Linked DNA regions of Rhinolophus ferrumequinum. The protein of the gene in region 4 interacts with the protein of the main gene of each other region in a pairwise test. Links are inferred from orthologs where the notes say so. Each region holds a gene or a part of one and is shown on either strand. Other genes may lie near its edges.

Evidence for each region.
Region 1: the proteins of MGAT5B (region 4) and HOXA1 interact in a two-hybrid assay, tested with the Homo sapiens proteins (2 studies listed by BioGRID). The two-hybrid records come from large-scale screens. The link is inferred for Rhinolophus ferrumequinum from reciprocal best matches to the Homo sapiens genes MGAT5B and HOXA1.
Region 2: the proteins of MGAT5B (region 4) and DMRT3 interact in a two-hybrid assay, tested with the Homo sapiens proteins (2 studies listed by BioGRID). The two-hybrid records come from large-scale screens. The link is inferred for Rhinolophus ferrumequinum from reciprocal best matches to the Homo sapiens genes MGAT5B and DMRT3.
Region 3: the proteins of MGAT5B (region 4) and keratin-associated protein 26-1 interact in a two-hybrid assay, tested with the Homo sapiens proteins (3 studies listed by BioGRID and IntAct). The two-hybrid records come from large-scale screens. The link is inferred for Rhinolophus ferrumequinum from reciprocal best matches to the Homo sapiens genes MGAT5B and KRTAP26-1.

The regions. Positions count from the first base shown.
Region 1 is NC_046303.1:14,535,050-14,542,939, forward strand, and holds HOXA1 (homeobox protein Hox-A1), read left to right. Parts: upstream 1-4,883; 5' UTR 4,884-4,987; coding exon 4,988-5,633; intron 5,634-6,219; coding exon 6,220-6,575; 3' UTR 6,576-7,736; downstream 7,737-7,890. Other genes in the region: HOXA2 (homeobox protein Hox-A2), read left to right, coding at 1-395. UniProt on the Homo sapiens protein: Sequence-specific transcription factor. Regulates multiple developmental processes including brainstem, inner and outer ear, abducens nerve and cardiovascular development and morphogenesis as well as cognition and behavior.
Region 2 is NC_046295.1:34,674,834-34,682,481, reverse strand, and holds the start of DMRT3 (doublesex- and mab-3-related transcription factor 3), read left to right. Parts: upstream 1-4,648; 5' UTR 4,649-4,996; coding exon 4,997-5,450; intron 5,451-7,648. UniProt on the Homo sapiens protein: Probable transcription factor that plays a role in configuring the spinal circuits controlling stride in vertebrates.
Region 3 is NC_046285.1:96,858,449-96,864,054, reverse strand, and holds keratin-associated protein 26-1, read left to right. Parts: upstream 1-4,512; coding exon 4,513-5,085; downstream 5,086-5,606. UniProt on the Homo sapiens protein: In the hair cortex, hair keratin intermediate filaments are embedded in an interfilamentous matrix, consisting of hair keratin-associated proteins (KRTAP), which are essential for the formation of a rigid and resistant hair shaft through their extensive disulfide bond cross-linking with abundant cysteine residues of hair keratins.
Region 4 is NC_046304.1:51,372,730-51,379,574, reverse strand, and holds the start of MGAT5B (alpha-1,6-mannosylglycoprotein 6-beta-N-acetylglucosaminyltransferase B), read right to left. Parts: upstream 3,015-6,845; 5' UTR 2,373-3,014; coding exon 2,305-2,372; intron 1-2,304. UniProt on the Homo sapiens protein: Glycosyltransferase that acts on alpha-linked mannose of N-glycans and O-mannosyl glycans.

The DNA.
Region 1 (7,890 bases), on a different chromosome or scaffold from region 4:
GGGAAGGTTACACTTTTCAGCAAAATGCCCTCTCTCAGCAGCAGGCTCCCAATGGACACAATGGCGACTCCCAAAGTTTCCCAGTTTCGCCTTTAACCAGCAATGAGAAAAATCTGAAACATTTTCAGCACCAGTCACCCACTGTTCCTAACTGCTTGTCAACAATGGGCCAGAACTGTGGCTCTGGCCTAAACAATGACAGTCCCGAGGCCCTCGAGGTCCCCTCTTTGCAGGACTTTAACGTTTTTTCCACAGATTCCTGCCTGCAGCTTTCAGATGCAGTCTCGCCCAGTTTGCCAGGTTCCCTCGACAGTCCCGTAGATATTTCAGCTGACAGCTTTGACTTTTTTACAGACACACTCACCACAATCGACCTGCAGCATCTGAATTACTAAAAACATTAAAGCAAAACAAAGCATCACAAAACAAAAACCCCTTTGACCAGGTGGTTTTGCCTTCTTTTATTCTGAGTTGATTTTTATTTTATTTTCTTCTTGACCTACTCTCTCCCTCCTCTAAATGTTGAAGATTTTCTGTTTAGTGATTCCCCTGACCCAGTTTCAGAGGCATCTTTTACAGATTATTTTGGAGTTTTAGTTGTTTGAAATCTAATCCAACAACCCTTTATGTGATTTACTGAAAGCAATATATGAGGCCTGCAAGAAAGTGATCATATAATTGTATCTTCACTTTCTTTTTATTTTTGTATTACATTAGTATGCATTGTCATGCGTATTTTTGGTAGAATAAATTCTCCTTTGCTATAAGTAGCTTTCTTATTTTTTTCTACCCCTCTTTCTCAAGGCTCCTAACGGTTTCTTTTTCTTCTTTTAGTCTAACTTGGTAAATAAAATTCTGGTCACAATTCATCTTCTTTTTCAATTTTAATATATTTATTAAGGGGGCATGTTCAAAATCTTCAATAGACAGCAACAAAAAAAGAAAGCCAGAAAATGGTTAGGGCTTTTGAAAAGTGTTTTTTTTTTTTTTAATTTAAGGGAATGGATTTGTTTTTTCAGTGTAGAGGTTCAAGCCATAGATTTAAATTGGTAATAGAAACAAGATTGGGAAGCCTCAGAGTTGGGCCAAGCCCAAGCTTTTGATAGTGGAGAAATAAAGTGCCTATAGAAACCCCCAACTCCAGGAAGAAGGAACGCGGAGTTTCTTTAACAAGCTACCAATCTCCAGGTCAATAACTAAGTTATCAAGAATTCATTTATTTATACACATTTGTTTCAAACATCTACATTCCGACCCCTCCCCCACAAATCCCCGAACATTTTCAGTGTGGTTGATTAGTTTCCCAGCTGCTGATGGCTCCAGGCAAACAGACCTAAAAGATAGAGAAAAACAAAAATAAAACAAAATGATGGTTACTGGCCGGAAAATGCACTTCAGAAAGGGTTCTTTCCAATCCTCTCGTTCAGTCATTCTAGGATTCTTTTTTTAAGGGTCAGAAAAATCAATATTTCATTCTTAAATCTGTTTACATGGCAAATAATGGATCATTAAAGCTTTGAAGTCAGGTTAGCAAGTTGAGATTTAAAATGGAGTATTTCTGCACCCTAGGTTATAAATTAATCCAGTTTCTAGAAAGAGAGATAAAGCACTTTAAATGATATATCAATAAAATGTGATCTAGGGTATATTACTGGGTTGTTCTGTTTTTTTTCCCCCCTCCTTATGTCTCCCCATATTTATTTTTCCCTTCCTGAGCTCTGTTCTGACGGCTACTTACCGTGAGAAAACGCAGCGTGTAAGCAACATGTGTGGGGGGCGGGTTGATTTAAGAACCCAGCTCTTAATAGCAAAGGCTTGGAAGTTACAATGAAATCATGGTCTTTCTCCAAGGGTTTGCTATCTACCTTCCCCCACCCTTTTACCCCCAAATCCCAGCAGCGGCGGAGGCGTGTGAGGACCCTGGCGGGTCTCCTGCCCCGGGCGCGGCGCGGAGCAGGGCGGCCCGGCAGCGGCCAGGGCTGAGCCGCTGTTTGCGATTCGTCCTACGCTCATAAATCAAACGCTTTCTATGAATGAGAATGTCATCAAAGAGATCAATTGCAGGAACACATGCACAAATAAAAATCCTCTTACGTATTTGCCGGGGATCCCCGTCCGAAAGCATTAAGTTAGAAGGCGTTTAGTCATAATTCATTTTTATTGCTCTTTTAAAACAACAGCTTGGCTGAGCCGCGTATGCCAGGAACAGCTCGCGGCCTCCGCAGCGGCGTTTTGTCTCCTCGCTCCTTCCTTCTCTAGTAGAAGAGCCCCGAAAGAGGCGGTTGGAGCCCAGCAAGCCGCTTGCAGGAGATCATTTAAATAGTGGCCAAGCTCGCTTTCCACCCACTCTCCCCGGGCGTTTAAAGGGGCTTTAGCTCGAGTCGTAGGGCGCTGGCCTACTTGCCCAGAGGACCGAGGGTCTCCTACCCGGCAGAATGAGCCCCAGGATTTCGTGGGGGTGGGGAGCTACGGAAGCCTGCGGGCTCGCGGCCAGGGAGGCTGCCTTTGTGAGCAGCACCGGGAGAGCAGCGCTCAGGGCGGCCAGCCGGGGCGGAGCGGACTCAGCTGCGAGAGCCGGGCCTGCGGGGAGAGGGGAGCACTGCGCTGAGGCGGGTGGGTAGCCAGTTCAAGTGCCTGCCTCTGTGCCCGTTCAAGCTTGTGATCCCAAGAAATACACCCACCCCTGCTGGCCCTGAAAAGAGCCCGGGAGGGAGGAAGAGAGGAGAGAAGAGGTCGAGAACTAGCAGAGGAAGGACAGCGGTTGTGGCGGGGGTGGCTTTGCGGCGCGAGCCTTGCGGCCTAGGACGTCGCGTAAACCCCGGGCGGTGGAGGCCAACAAAGGGGCAGGTATAAGGCAGGGGGGAGAACATACCGACGAGCTTCGGCTCGGATTGCAGATCGTGCGCAATGCCAGCAAGGACCCCCTCATGTCCTGCCTCCATCCCCATAGTAGCCCCTTCTCTCGCCGTCACTGAAGGCCTTTGCGCTCCCAAGGAAGCCGCCTCCAGGAGGGCCGCCTTGCCTTTTCCCTTCTCCAGGATGAAGTTCCCCAAGTGCTGAAATTGGGTCAGGAGTGAGCTTTCCTGCCTGTGCTCCCTCTTAACCGTGATTGGGGATGGGTCAAAAGTCACAGGAAAATAACTTTCCAAAAAGAAATGTTTAGGGAAAATGTTTCTTTGCCACTGAGGGAATCCACAGTCAAATGTCTGCAAGAGTTTTCCCTCTTGGGAGGACACGTTTTGAGGGAACTTCTGTATATGGAGAACAGAACTCAGAATACAATCCTTAGATAAATTTCATCTGTCTAATTCCGATGTGGTAAACATGGTCAGAGTAAAATCTAGACTGCATTGGCTGCGAAGCTTCCTGGATGATCTCTGGATTTCTACCTAAGAATGCTTCAATTCTCGGTCTCTGTTTGGCCTTTTCTCTCCACAAGCCAAGGGTTGACATGAAACCTAATAGTAAACAGCAATTAACGACCCCGTCAGAATCTGGGTAGGATGAGGGTGATGGAGAACAGGACCCCTGGCCTAGAATGACACTCAGATTTGCACGTGTCTCTCTAGGGAAAGATCTGAAGGTTCACACAAGGAACTACACAGTTACAAAAAGGAGGAGGTGTTGTGGGGGAAGAAGAAAATGTCCCGTCCACCATCGGCCATCTGTTCACCGCCCCTCCCACCTGCCAGCCCCCATCCCCAATTCAGATACGCAGTAGAATGGGGTGGTGGTGAATAAAGGAAGCTCTATCAACTCCTAACATTCTCCCTCCAGAAAACGAGAAACGTTGCGCGGGGGGTGTGGGGTGGGAGTTGAGCGTACTTTGTGGGAGCTGTAGTCTCGCCCTTTGAGGGCTCAGCCGCAGCGCGCCGGCTCCTGGGTCTTGGGGAGCCGGCAGATGGCCTGCAGCGCATGGCCCGGCCCCCACGCTGGCCACGTCCGCTAGCGTCATCTTTCTCCCCCGCCTCCTAACCCTCAAAATCTAGCGGCCGAGCTGCTCCGGATCCCATAGGGCTCCCAAAGCAAAGCTGAGTGGGGAGGAGAAAGGGGCGGAGAGCCAGGAGAGAGGGAGGGCGGAGAGCCCAGCGGCCCCGGCCTTTTCCGGCGAGCTCAGCTCCGAGGGTTCGGCCAGCTCCCGGGCGTCAAATTACCGAAGCTCCTCACACCCATGCTAATAGTCCGTGGGGGAGGTGGGGTGGAGGTTAGAAGTTTCGGAGACCCTCCTTGGAGAAGGGAAGTTTCTTTCTTGTCCACGTCTCCTCCACGCCCTCCCAGCCAGCCCTCTGCGCACTTCCTTTCCATTCCGAGTCTGGAAAGCTGGTGGCCCATCCTTAACCGAAGCCACCATGCTCTGTGCTCCTCACTGCCCCAAGGCACCACAGCAGGGAATGTGCAGTGAAAGCTCCGGGGGAGCTTGGGCTGCTGTGCCGGCCCGGTTCCTACCCTTCCTGCTCGGCGCGCTCCGATCTCCGGCCCACTGATTCCCGACCCAGGAGAGCACGGAGCTCTCTTCCCTTCTCACCTCTTGCCAGTTCATCTTTCTGAGCGCGGTGGGGAGGGGGCGGAGACGAGAAAGGGATGCTTCCCAGCCCCCACCTCGGGGGGGGGGAGGGCGAACGGAGTCGGCGCGCGGAAGGCAAGCCTCTGCTCCCCTTCGCCCCAGAGCTCGGAATCTGCCCTAGCAGCCGCCGCAGCTGCTGCCGCTGCCTGGGGGGGCGACTGCGCGTCACCTAGACTGAGGAGCGCCGGGGATTTAAATGCCACTGAAACGGTGATCCATCACTGCGGGAGCCAGCAAACTTTCGCAGGAGGCTCCGCCATTGGCTGACATAGTCACGTGCCCCTCCCGTAGCGCCCTCCACCCTCCCGCCCCCCCCTTGCGCACTGTACATTCATATCATTTTTCTTCTCCGGCCCCATGGAGGAAGTGAGAAAGTTGGCACGGTCACCCAGGACTTCGCAGGACCCGGTTACTCAGTGACAGATGGACAATGCAAAAATGAGCTCCTTCCTGGAATACCCCATCCTCAGCGGTGGCGACTCGGGGACCTGCTCAGCGCGAGCCTACCCTTCCGACCATGGAATTACAACTTTCCAGTCGTGCGCGGTCAGTGCCAACAGCTGTGGCGGCGACGACCGCTTCCTAGTGGGCAGGGGGGTGCAGATCAGCCCGCCCCACCACCACCACCACCACCACCACCATCACCCTCAGACGGCCACCTACCAGACTCCCGGGAACCTGGGGGTGTCCTACTCCCACTCGAGTTGTGGTCCAAGCTACGGCGCGCAGAACTTCGGTGCGCCTTACAGCCCTTACGCGTTAAATCAGGAAGCAGAAGTAAGTGGTGGGTACCCCTCGTGCGCTCCCGCTGTTTACTCTGGAAATCTCTCATCTCCCATGGTCCAGCATCACCACCACCAGGGTTATGCCGGGGGCGCGGTGGGCTCGCCTCAGTACATTCACCACTCATATGGACAAGAGCACCAGAGCCTGGCCCTGGCCACGTATAATAACTCCTTGTCCCCTCTCCACGCCAGCCACCAAGAAGCCTGTCGCTCCCCTGCATCAGAGACGTCTCCAGCGCAGACCTTTGACTGGATGAAAGTCAAAAGAAACCCTCCCAAAACAGGTCAGTCTTGCCATTCCATGATGTCCCTTGATGATTGTGGAAGGAGTTTGTATGCTTAGTGTCCAAGGGATATATATATATATATACACACATATATACACATATATATATACACACACATATATACATATATATACACACATATATACATATATACATATACATATATGTGTGTATATATATGTGTATATATATATATATATATAATTTTAAGTTCTTGCTACACACCAGTGTTGTAGGACGTGGGGAGATTGCCCTGGTGTGTTGGGGCAAAGGACCGTCTGGGACTGTTGTGTTTTCAAAGGGGCTGAGGATTAGAGGTTCTGGAAGTAGGAAGTGGGAAGTTGTGTGTGCTGGGGGAATTCTGTTAATATCTATAGGCTCCATTAATCACGGGTCTGACCACGCTAATGGCTGACTTCAGATTAACACTTTACACCTCATTACTCACCCTCCCCAGACTGGTGTGTGTTGTGAAATTCTTGATCTCCCTTTTACCTGAATATTGTTCTGAAACTGTAGGGGATCTCATACTGATTGTAAAAATTGTACCTTTTTCTCTGGTCGCTTCCCACCCTGTCCCTAGGGAAAGTTGGAGAGTATGGCTACGTGGGTCAACCCAATGCGGTGCGCACCAACTTCACCACCAAGCAGCTCACCGAGCTGGAGAAAGAGTTCCACTTTAACAAGTACCTGACGCGCGCCCGCAGGGTGGAAATTGCCGCGTCCCTGCAGCTCAATGAGACCCAGGTGAAGATTTGGTTCCAGAATCGCCGAATGAAGCAGAAGAAACGAGAGAAGGAGGGCCTCTTGCCCATCTCTCCCGCCACCCCGCCGGGAAGCGAAGAGAAGGCCGAGGAATCCTCAGAGAAGTCCAGCTCCTCGCCCTGCGTTCCTTCCCCGGGGTCTTCTACCTCAGACACCCTGACTCCCTCCCACTGAGGTCGGCCCAGCCCCAGACTCCTCAGCCCAGGCTCTTCCTGGGCTGGGACTTCTTACCCAAAGCACATTCTTAGCTTATCTTCCTTTCCATTTGCAGTCTCTCTCTTTCTGATCCTATCTGGGGAGCTCCTGGGCAGGATAATGTGTTTCCAGAGAATTCTTCACTTGATCTGGGGGGTGGGGTGGGGTGGAGGATGTTAACTCCTTAATGCAGATTGGGTGCCAGCATCACTTTTCTGATGGCTCCTAACACCCCTCCCTACTTTTAGGCAATTTCCGCGGAACCTTCTGTTCCTTTCAGATGCCCTTTGGAAAAGTCTCCTTTGCCAGCAGAAACATGTCAGAGAAAGGCCTCTCATCTTTTATCTATTTGTATATTTACAGTTCTCTCCTACTTTGACCTCAAAGAATGATAGAGAGAAAGGAGAGAGTCCAGGAGCTCATGAAGAAGAGATGCACTATGAGTGTGTTTACACGATTTGTTTTTTAATTTAATTCAGTTTCATGTGTGTGAGTTTGCTGGTTGTAAATACTTTGTTCTGAGAGATTTATCTTTATACAGATTTTTTTAGAAATGTTTAGATTAAGTGACTAAAACAGGGTGGGCAAACTCTCAAAGCTGGTACAATTTTATATGTGATTCTAGGTTAAAGAATAAAAGGCATCATTTCAACTCAATCAGTTGCCTCAGAGGGTAGCCTCAATTTATTCTTTTAGAGAGTTAAGAAAGCCTGCAGAACACAAGGTTCAGAAACCTTGTTTCCTGTGCTTAAGTCTCCCTTCATCCCCACCCCTTTCTTGTTTCTCTGGCCACACCACTCTATTTCAACTCTGTGCTGGATTATTCAGAACCTAAAGGTATTATTCAAATGAGCTTCTTCTTTCTACAGTTATCTTAGCTGGAACTGGTGTATTTTCAGCTCAATTGTTAATGTGATGGATGGCACAATGAATGTATATTTTGTGTGATTCGTGAATAGTCTTTTGCATGTCGCACAATGTTTTGATGTCCCTGAAGTACCACACTGAGTTCTATCAGTTATCCTCTGTGAGCCTATGATATTCCCCATTTCCTGTACAATCATGAGCAGCTCTGAGATCCTGGAGTGATGTGATCCAGAGCAGAGTTTACGGGTCTTAAGATGTCTGTAATAAATACATTCAAGTTTCAGATATGCTTAAGCATCCGTGTATTTGGCTTGGTTACTATTTGTTGGTTCCTACAAAGTTGGCTCATTTCATGTGGGGAAGGGGAGACAGGTGGTGTGCATTTTCAAGGAGGTGGGACTTCCCTTGAAAAAAAAGTAAGCGCTTT
Region 2 (7,648 bases), on a different chromosome or scaffold from region 4:
TCCGCACATCCGCTCACTTTCCCGCCGCGGTGCTTTGTTCCAGGACTTGGGGGGCGGGGGGAACCGCAGAGAGTTACGGAAATGGGGCTCGTCCTAGGGAAGAACTGCACCAGCGCCCTGAGAAAGAACTCTGGGGGAAAGAGACTGGCATGTCAGTTTGTTGCTAAGATTTCCTTGGCCTTTTTTGTTTTGAATTTTAAAGTCAGAGGAGAAATACTATCTTAAAACTCTTTTAGGGGGCGGGGAGTGGTAGATGAGGGTAAAGAGATCAAATATATGGTGATGGAAGGAGAACTGACTCTGGGTTGTGAACATACAACATGATATATAAATGGTGTATTATAGAATTATACACCTGAAACCTATGTAACTTGACTAACAATTGTCACCCCAATAAACTTTAATTTTAAAAGAACGGTTTTACAGCCAGTGCTGCTCTCATTTTACCTTGGAAGGTAGGAGTTTTTTCTTTTCCTTTACACAGAAGGCAAACAGGGTCTGCAGGCCGCCACTCCGCTCCTCTTCCAAAATGGTGTGGGGACCTGACCCACGCCCTCCTGCTACCTGCGGGGACGAGCTTGTTCTTTTGCACATGGCCACTGCCTCCAAATCCCAGATCTGAGGGGGGAATCCGCAGGTCGGCCGAAAGGCGGAGGCCGCGGGGGCATCTGGGGCTCGTGGCCAGAATGGGGAGTGAGCGACTGGGTGGGGGTCTTCAGGGGATGCGGACCTGGACCCCAGCCCAGTGGGGAGCGCTCCGAAGCGCTTTTCCATTCCCTCCCTTCGAAAGCGTGGAGTTAAGGTCGCCGCTCAGTGGGCCCAATGCAGGAGCGACATCCCTACCCCACCCCCAAAAGTTGGGAGCGGGCACAGCCTGTGTTCGGGCTGGGTCTGATGAATCTGCACCAATGGGAGCGCTTTCTCGGGCGTGAACCACTGGCTTCGAAAGTTCGAGAATCTGAAGGACTGAGAAGCAGCATCTGCTGAGGCTGCACAGGGCCGACGGGGTTGCAGCCCGTTCCCCGCCCTTGTTTGCTCCAAAAGACCTAGGCCTCTGGAGATCCTCGGGCTGCCCACTGCCAAAATGGTATGAAGACATGACCTCCCAGGACCTTATTTCAGCTCAGCCGCGTCCCCCGGGACCGCCAAACGCAGGTTCAGGCGTCCCGGCCTCACGTGGCCTCTGCGCCGCGCCCCAGAGAGCGGCTTCAGGGATGCATGGGGGTTGTGGGTGCGCATGAATTAATTGAGGGAGAACAAGGGCATTATTGTCACCTCAAGAAATCGATTGCTAGTTGCCCCACCGCATCACTAGACATTTGTTCCCCGCTTTTCAATTTGAAGCCAAAGAGCGATGCCTAGAGGCACGGACAGCGTGAGAGCTGAGAAATTCGTAGGCCGGGAGACAGGGCTGGTTTTCCTGCATTCAAAGGACTTTCTGCACGCCCCTGGTTTCCAGCGTCACCGTGGTCGCGATTAAAACGACAAAATAGGAACTCTGACCTCCCCCTCCATGAGATTTCAGCAAAGCCGAAAATTGCCTGATTTATTATACAGCCGGGACAATGTGAAACTGTCTTTTTGTTTCTCGAGGCGAGAAGCCGCTACTACTAGGACTCCCAGATTTGGAGTCAGAACAAGCTCCATTTCTCCGCAAGGATACCTGCATTCCGCGAGCTTTTAGATATACACACACCATGGGATTGAGTGCCGGCCAAGAGAAAGAGAACCACATATGCACATTATCTTTCAGCCTTTCGCTGTTAATACCTGTCACAGTTCTACCCAGTTAATTGTGGTTAGAAAGCACACATGCACATACCCCACCCTGAGCAGAACACGAGTGGGTCCAGTCTAGTGAGGTTACATTTATTTGTGATCCTTCCCCCTCCCTTTCCAAGGTCTTTGATGATTTTTCCCATAAGTGTAAGCTGCCGGGACTTAGTAGAAGCAGGCCGCTCCTTCTAAATGTGATTCGGACCATATGCTTTCCACATTCATCCCCGCTTCAGCTTTTCTTCTCTGCACTAACTGCTAACACGTTATAGTCACCTTGAAATTTCCTCTGCTATTTTCCAATTAAAGGCTTAATAGCCCTGGAAACGGAGTTCATGTGGTGAAGTTTACCATAGCCCCTTGTTCTAAAAGGCTTTCTGCTGGGATCCCATTATGTGCTTGAATAAACCCTTTCTGCAAACAGAAATGGGACTCGGGATTGTCAGGTGTTGGGTTACAATAGACTTTGAGGCAGGGGACATTTTACCAACATAAATACAAACCTGTCCCTATAGGGGGATGTTGTCAAATACTGGGATATGGAAAACATTCCCATCAAATATGAGAAGAGGATTATTGCTCTATATGAAATGAGTATTTCGATCTCGGACCCCGATGTGCACTGGAGTGAAACGGTGCCCCAGGACCAAAAAATGCCAGACTGTTTGAGTAGCAAAGGGATAGGGTGGCTAGGTGACCGAGGGAGGAAAGGGGGTCGTCTTGCTAGTGGGAATACCACCGCCCTCCAAACCCGGGGCAGAGCTTTTCTGCTTTTCTTTTAAAAAAAAAAATGCTTTACTCCCATGATTTTTATACTCCTGGTTTCTCTGACCATTTGGACAAAATCAGGAGAAATGTGGCTTTCAAACAAATCCATGGTCCTCGCGTTCCCAAGAGACCCGGAAGTTTCAGCGCGAACGTTCCCAGATTCAATGTCATTCTAGGCCCTGTCTCTGTCACGTGAAGCGACTCGCTGCCAACTCCCCACTTCTCGGCCTCTGTCCCACCGGGCTGCGGGTGACCTCTGCCTCCAGTCCCGAGAGTTTATGAAGTTCCTTCCGGTTGTAGTGTTTTTGGGCTTCCTTTCCTAGCGAAGACTGGGAGGAGAGGAGGGATTGAGGTGATGGTGTTGGGGGTGGGTAGGAAGGGGAAAAAGACTGAGGGGTCCGTGCCACCACGGTTTTGAGGGGAGGCCTCTCAGGGTTAGCATTCGTGCAAGTGTACCTGTTCATCTCCACCAGAGCAGCATCCAGCGATTCCCAACCCCCGGACAGCTCTGAACCCGGGGCCGGGGCGGCTAAGGGCTTCAGGGGAAACGCACACACCTGCCCTTTTTATCCCTCTTCCCCTCCCAGAATCACCCTTCTAGGAGGAGGGTTGGCTGCTAGAATGCCTGGAGGTGCTTTACTTGAATTCACAACAAACACAGAAGGACGTTTTCAGGTTGCTTGTTTGCTTCAAGGCAGAGAAAAGCGACCTCCCTGAGGTGACAAGGTCCGCTATACGGCCGAAAGGTTGGCTATTGCAGCGGAGTCAACTACGCTCTCGTTTCGTATTCGATTCGCCCAGAAATGAGCTCAGTGTCTGCTCTCAAGAGCATGCGGACCCAGCTCCGGGACTGGCATCTCCCCCTCTTCGCAGTGAGCAGTTGTATTGCCCTGCGCCGCTGTACCCTCCAGTGTTTTGTTTTTGTTTTCTTGGATTGAGAGGTGGGGTGGAGGTTAGTCGTCCCTGTGCGTTTGCGGCGCTAGTCTGCATTAGGCCAAACCGGTACTCTATGAAATTAGAAACGCGCAAATAACAGTTTAAACAAAGTTTGATGCTGTCATCTTATGCAAGCCCCCCCCCAAAGACAATGCGGTGACAGAAGAATGACTCCATCCCTTATCTATTACTAAGTGCCTGAGTCCGTGGAGATTTGAATTGGGTGACACGAGACATCGGTTTGATGGTTCAGTGGCTGTTGGACAGAGGGGAGATCATAGCCAGTAACTTTTGGGGCGCTATCGTCGCTTCCTCGTCCACTCTAAAAATTTAGACCCAGCACTTAACGCAAATCCTCCACACCAGCGCTTCCCCCTCCTTTCAAGACTGAGACTGTTTTTTTTTTTTTTTACTAAAACATGGGGAGGAGAATAAAGAGATTAAACTCAGAGCGGAAGAGGGAGGACTGTGCCTGCAAACTGGGTTGTCATTCTTGGGCTAGCAGGTTTTCAAAAACATTCATTTTCTTCGGCAGGAGTAAGATTTTTTTTTTTAATGTTGCAAAAGGAAATCAAGAAAGAGCCCAAATTTCCTGAACCAATTCCACTACTCTACTCCCAGTGGCCTCAGGGCCTGACTCGCCCCAACTTAAAACCCTCTGGACTCATGCCGGGTCCCGAGTACATCCGCAACGCTGCGGAAGGCTTCGGTTCTCGCGGAGCCGCGTTTCTGCGGCCAAGTGCTGGGATAAAAGCAGCCTCGGGCTCGGTGCCGCCAAATCAGGCCTGGTGGGAGGAGAAGGGATCGAAGGGGAGCCGGCAGCTCACTCGCCTATAGGCACCCCCACCCTCACCCCGCTGACCCTCCCCTTCTCTGCCTGGAGTGCATCACTGCGTCCCAGAGCGCTGCAGTCCCTCCCGCCAGGGGCAGGGGAAGCGCAGAGAGCTTGGAGGAGGGGGCCGTGAGCGCCCCCGCGAGAGCTGCCTGGCTGCAGGTGGCAAGGTGATGTGTAGGCACTCGAGGGGCGCAAGGAAGGAGGAAAGCGTGGGGTGGAGTGGGGAGTGCAAGGAGTCCGGGACCCCGGGGGTGGGGGTGACACTGGGAGGGAGGAGCAGTGGGGGGAGGGCGGTGGAGGAGGTGCTGGGCCCGGGCAGCGAGCGCGGGAGCTGCAGACGAGCTGGCTCAGACCTTAACCAGAGTTCTCGCCGGCTCCTTGTAGCCGCCGGAGCGCCTCGGCGAGGGAGGACGTGCGGGCTAAAGCCTCCGCTGGAAGAGACGCGACCCGCGTGGGACTGGCGGAGTACCAGCGGGAGGCTGAGGCTGCGAACGCCACGGAAGCCATAAAGACGGCTGCTGCACCACCGGCCGTCCCGGAACGCACGCGGCCTCCAGGGCTGCGTGACCAAGGACCGCGCCCCGGGGAGGCCTCCCGGGAGCGGGCTTCCCAGTCCCGCAGTTCAGCGTCCCGTGGCCCGCTCGCGCCGCCAGCCCGCCAGCTCTTCCGGGAGCCTGGGGCATGAACGGCTACGGCTCCCCCTATCTGTACATGGGCGGCCCGGTGTCGCAGCCGCCGCGGGCGCCCCTGCAACGCACGCCCAAGTGCGCGCGCTGCCGCAACCACGGTGTGCTGTCTTGGCTGAAGGGCCACAAGCGCTACTGCCGCTTCAAGGACTGCACCTGTGAGAAGTGCATCCTCATCATCGAGCGTCAGCGAGTCATGGCGGCGCAGGTGGCGCTGCGCCGGCAGCAGGCCAACGAGAGCCTGGAGAGTCTCATCCCCGACTCTCTGCGCGCCCTGCCGGGACCCCCGCCGTCGGGGGACGCCGCCGCCGCCCCGCAGCAGCCCCAGACCTCGCAGCCATCTCAGCCGCCGCCGCCGCGCCCCGCCGCCGAGTTGGCTGCCGCCGCCGCGCTACGCTGGGCCGCCGAGCCCCAGCCCGGGGCGCTGCAGGCACCGCTCGCCAAGCCAGGTAAGAGCATCTGCGGGGCGGGAGCCGGGCCCGGCGTTAGGGGGAAAACACTTCGGAGCTCCTGCGGCGGCTCTGCCTGGGAGGCCCGGAGGCAAGTTTGAGGAAGTGGGCCGGGCCGGGCCTTCCTCCCCAAACCCCGCCAAGCTGGTTCTTACTCTCCGTGCAGAAGCCGGCCTTCAGCCTGGATCCAGCAGGTAGAACCAGGCGCCCGCAGGAAAGATTCCGTGGGCAAGCCAAACGGCAGGACTGTGCGACTGGCCTGCCAACTGTCACCACTAGTTTAAAGGGGAACGTGGCCGTTTCAGTGGGAAAGTAAAGAGGTCGAAACAAGACCATATTAAAAATCCACGCGGGCATACACACAACGGTGCGGCAGGATTTTCCTGGCTACGAACTTCTAGGGAACCTTGCATTTGGAGATAGGGACAGGTAGATGCAGGGACAGAGCCAAGGCCCAAGACTTGGCTGACTGCTAGCTGGGCGTGCTTCTCGGCCCTGGGGGAACTGGAGCGAACCCGAAGCCTGCGTAGTAGTGCGCACTGTGGCCTTCAGCCTCTTGTAATTTGTTGAAAGAAGGCTCATTTAGAAGCAATGCTAAGAAGGGCCAGAAAGACTTCTAAACTTATAGCGAGGACCCAGAATCTAGAGAGCCCAGAGTCAACTCCTTTTGCAAAACTGCTCAGGTCCTTTAACACCTTTACTGGGTCCGCCCTCAGTTGTCTCTGTGGTTTAAAGAAACAAACAACACTTGATCTATAGCGAGGAAGGCCACCTCTGGCTAGCCCTTTCCCGATTCTAGGTAAGCCTGGGCCTCCAGCTGCTAAACCTCAGATTTGGAGCAAAGGCTCTCTGGTCCTCTTGCCTCAACTCTCCTCTTCTCCGCTGCCCTGCTTTGTAGAGGGTGGACTGCCCTGAGCCCTGAAGGTGGGCAGATTCCCTCACCCCCAACTCCTGCTGCCATCCCTTTCCCTCCTTCAGGCCTCTGGAGTCTGCAGACCCCAGTTGAGTCTTTCTCCTCAGGAATCTCTAGCTTGTCCTGCCCAGCCCAAGTGCTCCTTTAATTTTAGGCTCTTGGAATTCAATGGACATGTGTTTGGTGTTTCCCTTTCATTGTGGCAAATGTACAAAAGAAAAAAGCCCATCTTCTCAGGGAGGGGGTTAAAGGGTATGCTGGAAGTCTGAGAGCGAAAGCCCTGGAAGGCCCAGAGCCCTGTATGTAGAACTGTGGTAGAGCTTCTGTCTATATCTCCCACTCTCACACACGTCCAAGGAGATTGTGGGGGTCTGCGAATGCTTCTGGCTTCTGGAGAGAAGCTTTCAGGAACAGTGAACTGCTGTGTGGAGCTGGGGAAGTGCAGACTCACTGGTTTAGTGGTGATTTGATAGGCAGCTTGGCAGGCACAGTTTTGCTGCCCTGTTGCTCAGTTATACTTTCCAGGCCAGAAGCTCTTAGAACGTCTTATGTGAAGAGCAGAACTGGGTATTGTAAGGACAGAAGAGAATTTGCTGAACATGGATGTTGTGGATATTTAATCCAATATAGGATATAAGCATTTCTCTGGTAATGTCCCCCACCCCAGTTGTCTCTTTTCTGTCAGTCTGATCTCTTCATATTTGTAGATTAGCCACAGAGGAATAGGAGGAGGGAAGAGAAAGAAGGCCTAGTTTACTTTTCTTCTTTAGGTTAGAGAGAGTTTTGTCTCAGTTCTAGAAGCTGATCCCTGCTAGTAATTTTTCTTAACCTTTCTGTTTCCAGTTTCCCTATCTCCATTTCCTCAGCACTAGAGCAGGGATCTGAATTTGTCAGTGGTAGCATTTTGCAGTGGCCACCTGCCCAGCAGCACTCCTGTAATAGGGCTTTGGATTTTGGGATCCTAGTCTTAAGAGAGGATTCCTTCCACATCCTGTGCTCTTCAAACCATTCTTCTGGGTAGCCAAAATTCATGGCTTCTAAAGAGTCACAAAACCAAAAACAATCCTGGGAGGGGGTAGTGAGGGCAGGAAGAAAGGTGGAGCTGCAGCTGCAGCAGCAGGAGGATACAGCGTTTGGGAGAATGAACGAGGGAGACTGATTTCACCTGGACAAATCAGACCTGATGCTCTCTCTTTTACTCTAAGTATTCAGGGATAGATAGCCGGATCCCTCCAAATTGAAAAGAAGTAATTGCAAAGGAGAATAGGATTTACTGTGTTTCCCC
Region 3 (5,606 bases), on a different chromosome or scaffold from region 4:
GAAAAAGTATATAAAAGAGATTACTGACTTGGCTAAGTAAAGGTCAGTTTTTGTTTGATAAAGAAAACCTGTTATATTTTGTGAAAGCTATGATGTTAGTCAGCAAATATTTATTAAGAATCAACGAGGTTACCTCACATGTATTGAGAATAATGATCAGACCTATCGGAATAGGGATGTTATGAAGATTAAATCAGTTAATACGTATAAAACATGTAGTACTATGTTTGGTATATAATAAGGACTCAGTAAATAGTTGGTAATAAAGGTTTTATAATATAGTCAGGAAATAAGACACATACAGAAAGAATGTTTTGTTTGTAATGCAAAGGTGTGTGTGTGTGTGTGTTTGTGTGTGTTTGTGTGTGTGTGTGAATTAATAGTAATTATACAGATTTAAGTCTGGAAATATCTACGTTGGTAGAGGGTATTTATAAAGAAAGGGCTAATTAAGCTAAAGCCTACAAGATGGAAAAATTAAAGAATTGTTCCAGTTTTATATCCCACATATCAGTCAGATCATATGGTTCTCAACTTTTTCTGTCTAACTTATTTTACTTAGCATAACAATCTCAAGATCCATCTACATTGTCCCAAATTGCACTATTTCATGAACAAGACAATCAAAGAAACAAAAACTCATAGACAAAGACAATAGTTTAGTGGTTACCAGAGGGTAAGGTGGAAGAGGGGTGGCAGATGAGGGTAAAGGGGGTCAAATATATGGTGATGGAAGGAGCACTGACTCTGGGTGATGGACACACAATGTGATATATAGATGATGTATTACAGAATTGTACACTTGAAACCTGTGTAACTTTACTAACCATTGTCACTCCAATAAACTTTAATTTAAAAAAAAAAAAAAGAATTATTCCAAAGGAGACAAGGGTAAGATGAATGAAGAGATGTGAAATGAGCTAATTGGAGACATGAACAGAGAACCCAGCAAGACTGAAGATAATTTCTATTGGGAAGCAGAGGAGGATGAATCAAGTGTTTGGACAACTTTCTGTGGACAAAGGAGAGTCATCAGCATTTTTGAGTAAGAGAGCCATCTGATGAAATGAATTTTAGGAGCATTAACCTACATACGGTGTTTAGCCCACAGAGATGACAATAGCAATAGGTGTCAAGATGGCAGTGAGAAAGGCACGTGTTTACCAAAGGGGAACAGAACCCTACCTGAGTGATGGCGGTGAGAACAGAGCGGGGAAAAATGGATGACAAGACATATTAGTGGATCAAGTAAGAAAAGCATTACAAATAGATTTTCACTCCTTCCCATCTGTTGCAAGTTAATCACAGCACTCTCTTCTTGAAATCAGTTACTGGATCACCATGCTTAGAGAACAAAATCTTAACTACTGCCTTGATGATTGAATTAGATTCACCAGGTAAACCTAAGTTTCATTATTACAACTTACCTCTAAGAACATTTCACTAAAAGCACCGTGTAGTCATTTTTCCTGCCTTTACACGTTCTACCATAGTCTGAAGTGTCTTTCCTTTCCCCAACCCCCTGCTGTTTCCTACTAGCCTTCAAAATTAATACCAAATACCAATGTTTAGGCAAACCAATAAGCAATGTTTGCCATTCTCTGTACACCATTTATAGAATTTAGTGAACACTGACATGGATGGTGTATCTGTTTTAGCACATCTACAGAATTGGATGCATCTGGAAAAACACATTGATAGTGTCTTGGTATCATTGTCAGAATCTATCATAATGTTTTGCATAAATAAGGTTCTCAATAAATATTTGTTGACTGAATGAATGCAAGGTATGTCATTTATTGGCAAACTTTTATTGTTGCAATGCTCTGAGGATTCCTTGTGTCCAAGAGAGGAAGAAATTCAGGATTTTTCCTCTAGATTAGGAGAGGTAAGGATCCCTAGTTAACTGAAGTAAAAGCAACAAAGTGGATAAATCTGGAAGAGCCCACAGGATGCCCAGGTCCTCAGTCTATCTTTAGGCTCTTACATCAGAAGCAGAGCCTGGGACCTGTAGTTTATAGGAGACTGGTAATGAGGTACCTGCTGTGCTGCCCACGTGAGCTCTTCTTCCCCTTTAGTGATACAGTCACTATCGAAAGCATCAGTTCAACATTTGTTATATTAAGGGCACTGCATTTTCTAAAATTCTGTGGATATTTTTGCAGTGTTATCTACCCACAGTAGGAAAAAATAACTCTCATGGTGGTGCTGTAAAGGAATTAAACTGAGGTGGTACTCCTTGGAATGGGTGAAGGATGCCAAAGCGAGAAAATAAATTATGTAGGTACAGTATCTCACAGTTTACATTTAAGTTTTCCTTCCATCTAGATTTATTTTTTAAATGACACCACAAAGTAGTTATTAATACTCCCATGGTTCCATAAAATGATACTGATAGTGACTGGGGAATCAGAGCGATTGTGCAAATTGCTCTACTAGATGATGGTATCACTGTATGTCCATATGATGTCATACTGGATAATGGGAGAAAAACAACCTTTAGAGGGTGAAGGACCACCAAACAAAACCCCCTTTGTTTAAATGGTTTTTATTCATATCAATTATCGTAACTTTCTACATCTCAAGTTTTCTCATACAAATACTTGAAATAGTAAAATTTACTATAAAGAATGGTGCGAATAAAGTGATATTACAGATGTGGGTACCTACACTGCAAGGTGTTGCCCAGAGTAGACAATAAATGAATGCTAGTTTTATTCCACACCCATTCTCTTCATGCAGAAAAACCCATTTGTTTATGCATACAACATAAACACTACATACACACAAATATATTGATGTACTAAAGATGCAGGTGTTGGGCTCTTGATTATATTAGAGAAGAACGGGCATAAAGAGCATCAACACATAAATTTGGTAAGCATTCGGTTAAATATGGCTGCACCTATTACTGACACCATTCAGCGGCTGCATCCAGGATTTCACAAGATGCTAGCAATGTGTACAAAGGTACCAAGTGATGAAAACTGGAGGGATTGAGGGGATTCTTCAAGTGCTTGAGGTACAAATCATCACAGGGTAGTGTTCTCTGACTTAAAATACTGAGATAATCTCAATGTGTTAGTACAGGACCTATATAATTTTCATTTTCCTATTTCTGGTAGGAAAATAGTCCTATATTGGCTCATAGAGAAACCAACCTTGCATTTCAGAGATTCTACTCCTCCTGTACAGAGGGAGACCCAATAGGTGTGGGTGTATCCACTAAACATCAAAATATAACAAAGTGTTGTGACTTACATTGGATTTTAAAGGAAATTGGAAATTAGATAATAAAATTAGAAATTAGATAAACAGATAATGAAAATTCCCATTAATATAGTCACTGGAGCTGCTACATATGTTGGTATATGAACAAGGCAATGGAATGGTTGAGGCTAAACACAATCATGAATTTTTTAATCCAATTTTTACCAGAAAATATATACCCGAATAGCCGTCAAAGTGTTCATACTTAGACAAACTCTACATTTATTCTGATGTTATTACCCATGTAAAGCAGTTTAGAAGCTTCTCTCTGGAAACTGATATCAGGACCAATGTAAAAAACAAAACCAAATCCAAGTCCGTCTCTTAATCATTATGTCTCTCTCTCTCTTTTTTTTTTTTTTAATGAAAAACATTAGTTTTCAGTTGGGACACAAGTAACATGAATACATAATCCTATAATAGGTATAAAAAATGTAATTTTGTTCAATTGTCTTTAAGGGATTCTGTTGATTTGCTTTTGTTTACCATAGGATCCATAGATTTACCTGACCCCAGCTTGTTTATCTATACGTATTATGACAACTTTAAACATAAACCAGCTTTCAGCTTGACTCTTTATTTATTTATTGAGACGAATAAGAGGAGCATGACTTCTTTTAAATAAAGATATTTTGGTGGGAAGTCACTTTCTATCAGAATTCTAAAATAAAACAAAACACATCTGGACACATTGACATTTCCCATATTATACTACTTTCAAACTCTTTCTGCTCTAACCCACATTAGATATAGGATTTTTCACATTCTTTTACACATACTTCCTTTTAAGCTTCTTACTAGGATTCCTTCTCAAAGAGAAATAATTTGCCAGTGTTTCAAAGAAGTTTGCTACAACTTTTAAAGACATTTCCAAGAGAATAATTCTATGAATATTTATGCAGTGGGGCTTATAACAGGAATAAGTAAATGACCTCCAAAAGTGGCAATTTGGTTGGATAATTTGAGAGGGTGAGATCCTATTAAAATTCAGTCACACTGTGTTATTTACTTAATCAATGGAAGGCCTTGCAAGTAACCGCATTTTATAGGAGTTGAGAGCATCCACTTCCGGGTCATAATGAAGAGTTCTGATGCAGCCTCATGCAACTAGGAGGAAGAGAGTCTGTATACAGAAGCACCGTCTTCTGCAGATATATAAGGGATCAAGTCAGATGAGGAGCACAAAGAAACTTGAGACACATTTCTTTCCAATCAACCACAGCCTGCCCACAAAACCTCACTATGACTTGCCCCAACTCCTGCTCTGGAAACTACAACTTGGGATCCCTCAGAAATCCCTGTTATATTCCTCTCTCCTCTTCCAATGCCCTCTGCTCTACAAATGTGAGCCGTGAAGATGTCCTCTGCTTTCCCAGCAGGTATCAAGATGGTATCTGGCTCATGGACAATTGCCAAGAGACCTGCAGTGAACCAACCAGCTGCCAGTCACAAAACTGTGAGCCCAGCAACTGTGAAACTTCCTGCTGCTCTTCCACTGCTTACTATGGGCCCAGACCCTGCCAAGGAACGCGTTTTCTTCCTGCTGCTTCTTTCACCTCCAGCTCCTGCCTCCCAATATCCTGTCGACCTCTGAGCTCTATGTCCAACAGCTGTGGACCCCTGAGCCTCCTTACTTATGGATGCCGCCCCTTGGGGTGGATGCCCTGTGGTGCTCAGCCACTTAGTGTTGTGTCCAGCAGCCTCAGACCTCTGCATCCTCTCTTCAGTGGATGCCAACCTCTGACCCATGTGTTCAGCCCCTGTCGTCCATCTTGCTTTGCACTAGGAGGCCAGGAGCTTCCTTGTTCCAGCTAGCAATCGTGCTGAGGATCAAGGACAAAAATTCAATCTTTGGGGACTTCTGCTTCTTTCCTAGTAGTGAGTGACCGCCTTTTCATCTTTTCAGTGTGCCTGATCTAAGGCAAGCTGCCCCTTTCACGTTTTTCTCTCCCTTTTTTTTTCATTTTTCCTTGATGTGAAATTATTTGGTTTACGATGCTATTCATTGTCACTCAGGTGTGGGAAGAATTTATTTGGTTTGTGTTGTAATAAATGAGATTAAGCCAGAATTAAAAATCTGGGTCTTCAGTTTGTCTTTTATTATTCCATTTTAACACAGAAATGACCAACCTCAACTGCTTGCAAGATAAGTGAATAGGACATGGGCTACTGGACCACATATTCTTATCTGACAGTAGGGGAATAACTTTGATGGTTTATTCCTCAAGCTGCTTTCTAGATCTGTGATCCTATGTATTTGAGAGATCCAAAAGACCTTGGTTGAAGTTATTTTGAAAAGGCAAGATTAGGAATGCTGTCTTTATCTTTCTTCCAGT
Region 4 (6,845 bases):
CAAAAGCAGAGAGGGCACTGGGCACTTCCTTCAGGAGGTGACAGAAAGGACAGGAGGAAAAAAAAAAAAAAGGAAAGAACAGACAAGATGGCACAAGAGACACTGCTCCCTCACCTCCCAAAGACACCTCACCAAATTCTAGCAACCCCAGGGGTGGGTCTCAGGGCCTGGGATCCCCAAGATTAAAACAGTCTTGTCTCAGGACAGCAGCCAGAGGGACAGTGTAAAAAGGAGGTGGTCGCACTCCCAAGAAGGTCCTAAGGAAATCAGCTGTTTGTCTTCCCAGCCTGAGGACCGGCAGAGACCCCTCAAGTTTCTCATCCCTCACTTCCTCCACCCACTTCCCCAGCTATGGAGTTGAACTTAGAGAAGGCATCTAAGATCTAGCCCAGAACCTGAAGCCCCCAGCATATCCCTTCTGCATCTGTCTCTGTCAGACCTCAATCCTGGGATCATTCTAGCCTGCCCTTGAGGATTGCAAGTACAGGTGATGTGGTTGGAGGTCTGTCCCCTCCACACCCCCGTCTGAAGGGGACACAAAGACTCCCCTGGCAGCTGTGGGTCTCTGGGAAGCCTAGGGAGTCCCTGAGGCAAAGTTACACAACTTGGAAGGAGGGGAATCTGTGCAATCCTACCCCTGAATCCTGCTCTTGCCTGAAGGAACCAGGACAGAACCCCAGAGGGAAGCAGCGCTTGGGAGCAGACGCTGTCCATGGTGCTTGCGTCCTCCAGCTTCTTCTAATTACACCAAGAAACATCCGGCTAAAGCTTGAGCACGGCTGGCCTTCCCGCGGCCTGGTCAACGGGTTGGACACAGGGTGGGTGAGACGGGGCAAGGACCCTTTCACCAGTACCAGTCAGCTAGAGATTAGAGGATTTCCTGGAGGAGAGAGGCCCTTTCCAGAGACGCCCGCTTCCCATGGGAACCTTGAGTCGGGGGCTCTTGACACCCTCCCAATCACCAGCCCGAGGCCCTACCCTAGGAGACCCCCCAGCCCGATGGTCCTCCCGCGTCCTCCAGACAGCGGTGGTCCAGTATAACCCCTGTCGTGCCTGAAGGCTGTCTCCTCAGCCCCGCACAACTGGCCTGACGGATGGAGGGGGCTGGACGTGTTGTGGGGTCGGTCGCAACGTGAGCCACGGTCTCCTAGTCAAGAGACTGAAGGGAGAACAGCGGGAGCCCTGGGAGGGCCGGGGGCTCTAGCCCGAGGCATGGAGGGGCGGGGCTCAAATTCGGCCCCCCCCACTGCCCAGGCTTCGAGCGCCTCCGCCTGCCCAGTCTCTGCTCTCGCGGGCTCCTACCTGCGCCCTAGACCTTCACCTGTGGCCGCAACGGAGTGAGGCCCACGTCCGGAGTGCGGCCCCCACCCTGGCCCCCCCAGCGTCCTTCCGCCCCCACTCCCCGGGCGAGGTAGCACTCTGAACCCGCTGGACACCCATCGCTTAGCGCCCTCTGCCCAATCCCGACCGTAGGCCGGGTTCCACCGGCTCTTAGGAGAGGAGGGAGCTGCCCGGGGACCGGCGGGCTCTCCGGCCCCATGGGTTGGGATCAGCAGAGCCTGTCCTGCCCCGCGCGAGGCCCTTCCTGGCCTTGGCCACCAGAGGTTGGGGGGGTAGAGGGACCGCTCCTGGCCTCCATCCTGCTTCCACGCTCCCGCCGCGGTCCGGGCTCCCTTAGCCCTTCTGCCCGCAGCGCCGCCCCTGGCCCCGCCTCTCCACCGCCCGCGAACGGGTGTCGAATCCCCAGCAGTGGGGTTCCTTGCCCCAATCTCGGGGACCCTCTCGTTGGAGAAAGGCCCGCACACCGCCACGAGAAGGGCAGCGCACGACGAAGGCGCAGGGGGCGGTGGCACAGGCAGAGGGGGTGGGCGGGCCGACCCGGGTTCGACGGGCCGGCGGGGTGGGGGTGCAGCCCGATACTGCGCGCTAACTTTGCCGCCGGGGTGGGGCAGTCGGCGAGTTGGGGAAGGACCCCGAGGGGCAGGGAAGGGGCGTCCTGGCTAGGAGACTTCCCGAGCCCAGGATCACCCCTGGGCGCTTCCTGCCCGCATTCCCACCTTGCACCGGGAGTCCTCTCCAACCTAGACCAACTCTGGACACGTCCCAGAATTACACACCCTTCCCCACATGAACCCGAACCCCAGCCATTCCTTCCCCAGCCCACCGGCTTCACCACGGGTGGAAGCACAAACTGCCCTCTCTGCCACCGGGCATGCACCCTCGCCAGAACAGACCTCGCGCACCTCCACCCCGCGCCCCCTCGGGGAAAAAGACCTCCCCGCGCCAACCCAGAGAGAACTTTACCGAAAGGGTCTCAGGGTGACCAGGCATCTTCTGACCATTATCTTCCCATCGGGGTTGACTGTGATCATTGTTCAAACTTGTCTGGGCGAGGAGCCACGGACGAGGCCGGACGCACTGTCCCGGGCGCTTCTCCCGCCGCGTCCGGGCCACGAGCCCGCTGCGGGTGGAAACCCGGTGGGAGCGAGGCGGGAGGCACGGAGGCTCGGCGGCTTCGCTACTCTGGCGGAGGCCCGCGGGGTCGACGCGGCCTCGGGGGGCAGGGGAAGGGGAGCAGCGCGGCTGCCGGAGGGCGGCGAGGGCGCCCGGCCGGGCCGTCTCTGCGTCTCCGCATTCACCGCTTCACATTTTGGGGGCCGGGAGGCGGCGCGCCCCCAGACCGCCGGCCGCGCGTCTGTCTGCTCGGGCTCGCTCGTTGGGCGGGACGGCGCCGCGGCACGCAGACGGGATCCCCGCCGCGGGCGCCCTCATCCCCGGGCCCGCGCCCTCGGTGCCGGCTAGCGGCGGCCCCGGGCCCGCGCCCCAGCCCCCTGAGCCTCTGGGCCGCGCACCTCCTCGGCCCGGCGCCGCGCAGCGCCCATGGCTCTCGGCGAGGGCGCCCCGCGCCCGCCCCGCCGCTCGCTTGGCTGCCCGCGCTCGGGTGTCCGGCGTCCTGCCCGCGCCGCGCTACGCGGGGAGGCGCCGCATTGTTTCCTCGGAGGAGGCGGCGGAGCCGCGGCTGGGGCGGCCCGGGAGAGGCTGTCGCGCTTCCTCGGCGCACCGGCGCCATCTCGTGGCCGAGGCCCAGCAGTGCACCCTCCCGGCCCGGGGTGGGGCGCTGGGGACCGGAGGGCGGGAGTCCCTACGCCTCCCCCCAGCGGTGCAACTTCCCCGGTCCCCGCTTTCGGAAATATCCCGGACGCCACCAGCCTCGAGGGCCGAGGGCTGCTTGGGGTCCTGCCGAGCACAGAGGTCAGCGCTAGGAAGAGACACCCCTTCTTCCCGACCAGTGCCAGGGCCCTCCCTCCAGCTGCTGCCTCTGTCGACGTGCTGGGCTTCTGCACCCGCCCCTCACACCCGCTCTGATTTCGCTTTGCAATCCTCACCCATCCTTTTCCCCTCTTTGATCAGAAACTGCTGTGGCTCCCCTCTGCTTGCTGATCTGAATTCAAACTCAACCTGTGGTGCTCAGTTTCTTCCGCTGAGCCCAGAAGAGGAGGACACTGTGTGGGCCTGAGTTCCAGCCTCAGATCCTCCAATAACCAGCGGGTGACGGGTGCAAGTCACGAGGACTCCCTGGCCTCGGTTTCTCCACTATGAAATGAGGGTGACAGAAGTTCGCTAAGGCTCCTTCCAACTCTATAAAGCATTTACATGCCCTCCTCCCACCCCCTCCCTGTACTTCTTGACTTCGGAGACGGGTTTGCTTTGCGATTGCAGAGATGGGTGAGCCCAGAGAGATGGCGGCCAGGCCTGGATTTGAGGAAGCCCCAGGCAACGACACTTGCCAGACCTGACCATTGGCCAGGTGTAGACATGGAGCCCCACGCTGGGAAAATCCCAAGGACTTGGGCCATGTGTAAAATGACATGGATGAGCCTGAAGGTCTCTCCATCCCAGGCTGATTCCGCAGCCTGGCTTAGGAGAGCAGAAAAACCTTTATTCCGCTCCAATTGGCCCTGGTCCCATCCAACCAGCCCTCCGCCCCCAGCCCTTTTGCTGCCCTCCTAGCCCACCTCCCAACCCCCCTTCTGAGCCATTTCTCACCAGCAATGACTCATGCTCTTGCTTTTCCTGCTCCTTCTTCATCAAAATTCACCTGTCCCAGGTTCCATTATCTCATTGCCTTACTCTTTGCTAATGTGAAAACTGATGATGAATTGGTGTTGGCGGATTAATATGTTACTGGAGCTAGGTAACAAATTTGCATTGAACAAGGACATGCTGACCGTACCTTCGTGGGAAAGAGTGAGGAACGGTGGCCGGAAATGTGAGCATCACGGCAGGCTGACCAAGGAGATATCGGGAGGGCAGGGGTCTCTGCCAATCATTCCTCGTGCCTGGGTGCCTACATGTGTCATACACTCCAGCGGTAATTTAATTCTGGGATGTCAAAGCGAAAGCCGCATTTACAGGAAGGGATGAAACGACCCTTCCAATTGTGTATGTCTCTCATGTAAGCTCAGGAGGTTGCATTTTCACCTGGTTGGCATTTTAGGTCAAAGGGGGGGGGTGGTATGGAAGATGGGTCTCCCCCAAAGGCATGGCCATGTCCAGTGCGGCTCATCTGGGGAGGTGGCCTTCCGGCAGCCCGAAGCCAGAATTCAGAAGGGGGGAGAGAATACTCCCCACTCCCTCTGGGCCTTGCAATCTTGGATGTGGGCTTTGAGGTGGGCAGGGGGAGAATGACTGCTGCTATGTGACAGTAAGCTCAGGCCAGGCAGGCAGGCGTAGGAGGACAGTGAAAGCTACTTTCCGAGCTCGGTCACCCAGCTGCCTCTTCTTTTCAGAGTCAGCCTCTCGTCTGCTGTAAGTGCAGTGTAAACGCCCTTGCTTGCTTTCCATTGTGCTATAGCTATCAGGAGAAAAATTGTGACTCCCTGCGTCATGCAACCTTGGGTAGAACGTCTCCATGCCTCAGTTTCCTCAGCTGTAAGTCAGGCTATTTATAGCCTGCCTCGAGGGGCTGTGGTGGGGACTGAACCTGTTAATGCAGGTAAGTTGCCTGTTGCCTGCACCTACGAGCCCTCGGCACGGTGCTGGTGATTTGTCTTGTTTTTGTCTACCTGTAGCAGATGCTGTTGGTGCCTGCCCTGTTCCCTGGATCTTCACCTCCACGTGCCAAAAGGCAGATGACAGAGAACACATGTGACAGTCCCTGAGGCTTATTTTTCTGGTTGTGGGAATATGCTTGAACACACAGGGGTAAGACAGAAGTGCCAGGGAATGAATGCACTTGGAAGCGGCCCGAGTGGATAGATCCCATCTCCCTCTCCTTCAGGTGGGATGCTCTCGCATGTTCCACACTGGCTCCCAGAGTCCTCCAGCAAGACTGAGCTCCAGCTGCCCACGGTGGGGACCGGCTCTGTAAGGCACCCCATGTTGGCTTCCTTTCCTCCCTGCCTCATTCCCCTCCCCGGTTCATGTACCTGGGGTCACCTCCGAAATAAACTACTGGCACGTGCATCCTTGACTCAGAATCTACTTCCGATGAAGGTAAACCAAGACCCTCCCCTACAGCCTAGTGGTTCTCAGCCCAGACTCATGGCCGAATCGCCTGCAGAACGTAACAAAACAGCGTCTTTATTTCTTGATTTGGTACCTAAGGTGAGGCCTGGGCACATTTGTTTTACTGCCACAGGCTATGGCAAGAACACCGGCCAGGGTGGAAACCCATTCTTCCAGATGAATCCCCACTGCCTTCTGATAAGAAAGCAGAGTCGCCCTAAACAAGTGAGAGGAGAATGGGGGAGCAGGAGTCGGGGCGCACTCCTGTTGCAGGGCACATCCAAGAAGTGATGCTGTCAGGTCATACTGGATCCCCAAACCCTCCCCTTTCCATTTTTTTTCTCTTTGGGGGCCATAGCAGAACCACAGGCTAGCCCAATGTAGGGGGCTGGGGTGCAGACTGCATCAGCCTGAGCGCTCTGACTATGCACTTACTGGCTCTCTCCACTGCCCTCTGGATGGAGCTGCTGGCCTGGCTGGGGCGGTCAGCCGATGCCTGGAGCCAGGAGGAGGCCCTGGCTGGGCAGGCCAAGTCCTCAGTGCAGAAAAGGGGAGCAGGATTCCGAGGAAGGGTTTTGGAGGAAGTGAGTCATGTGCAGCTCTTCAGGGTATCACACTCAAAATTCCTCAGTGGTGGGCCAGGCAAAGAAGGGAAGCGGCGACGGGGTGTTCTGGAGCTGTGGTAAGAAATTGCAACAGGCTGAGGGGCTTCAGACAACAAAAACTGATTCTCCCCCAGGTCTGGAGGCCAGAAGTCTGAAGTCAAGGTGTCGGCAAAGTTGATTCCTTCTCGAGTTTCTGAGGGAGAATCCATCCCATGCCTCTCTCCTGGCTTCTGGTGGGGGCCGGTGATCCTTGGCATTGCTGGCTTGGCTTGTGACACATGGCCTTCTCCCCTGTGTCTCTCTGTGTCCTCTCCTTTTCTTATAAGGACACCAGTCACTGGATTAGGCCCACCCTAATCGAGAATGACTTCATCTTAACTAATGACATCTGCAAAGACCCCATTTCCAAACAAGGTCACATCCTGAGGTTTCAGGTAGACATGAATTTGGAGAGGGGACACTGTTCAACCTACTACAGGGACCTAATGGAAAGAGGCCAGAGCGGTTAGAGAGGGGACATGCCTCCGCTGCTTTGTGTGAATATGAGCCCAGTTATTTCAAGAGAGTCAGAAATCTACGCTTCTCATGTGAAGTCATGTAATTTCAAAATGTAGACTCAATTTTTTAAAACATTGTACAAGACCAATAAAATCCATTGGCAGGTCTGCCATCTGGGTCCCCTTTGAGACCCAGCAAGTCCAGCTTTCCTGCAGCCGGCCCCCCATGCTTCCA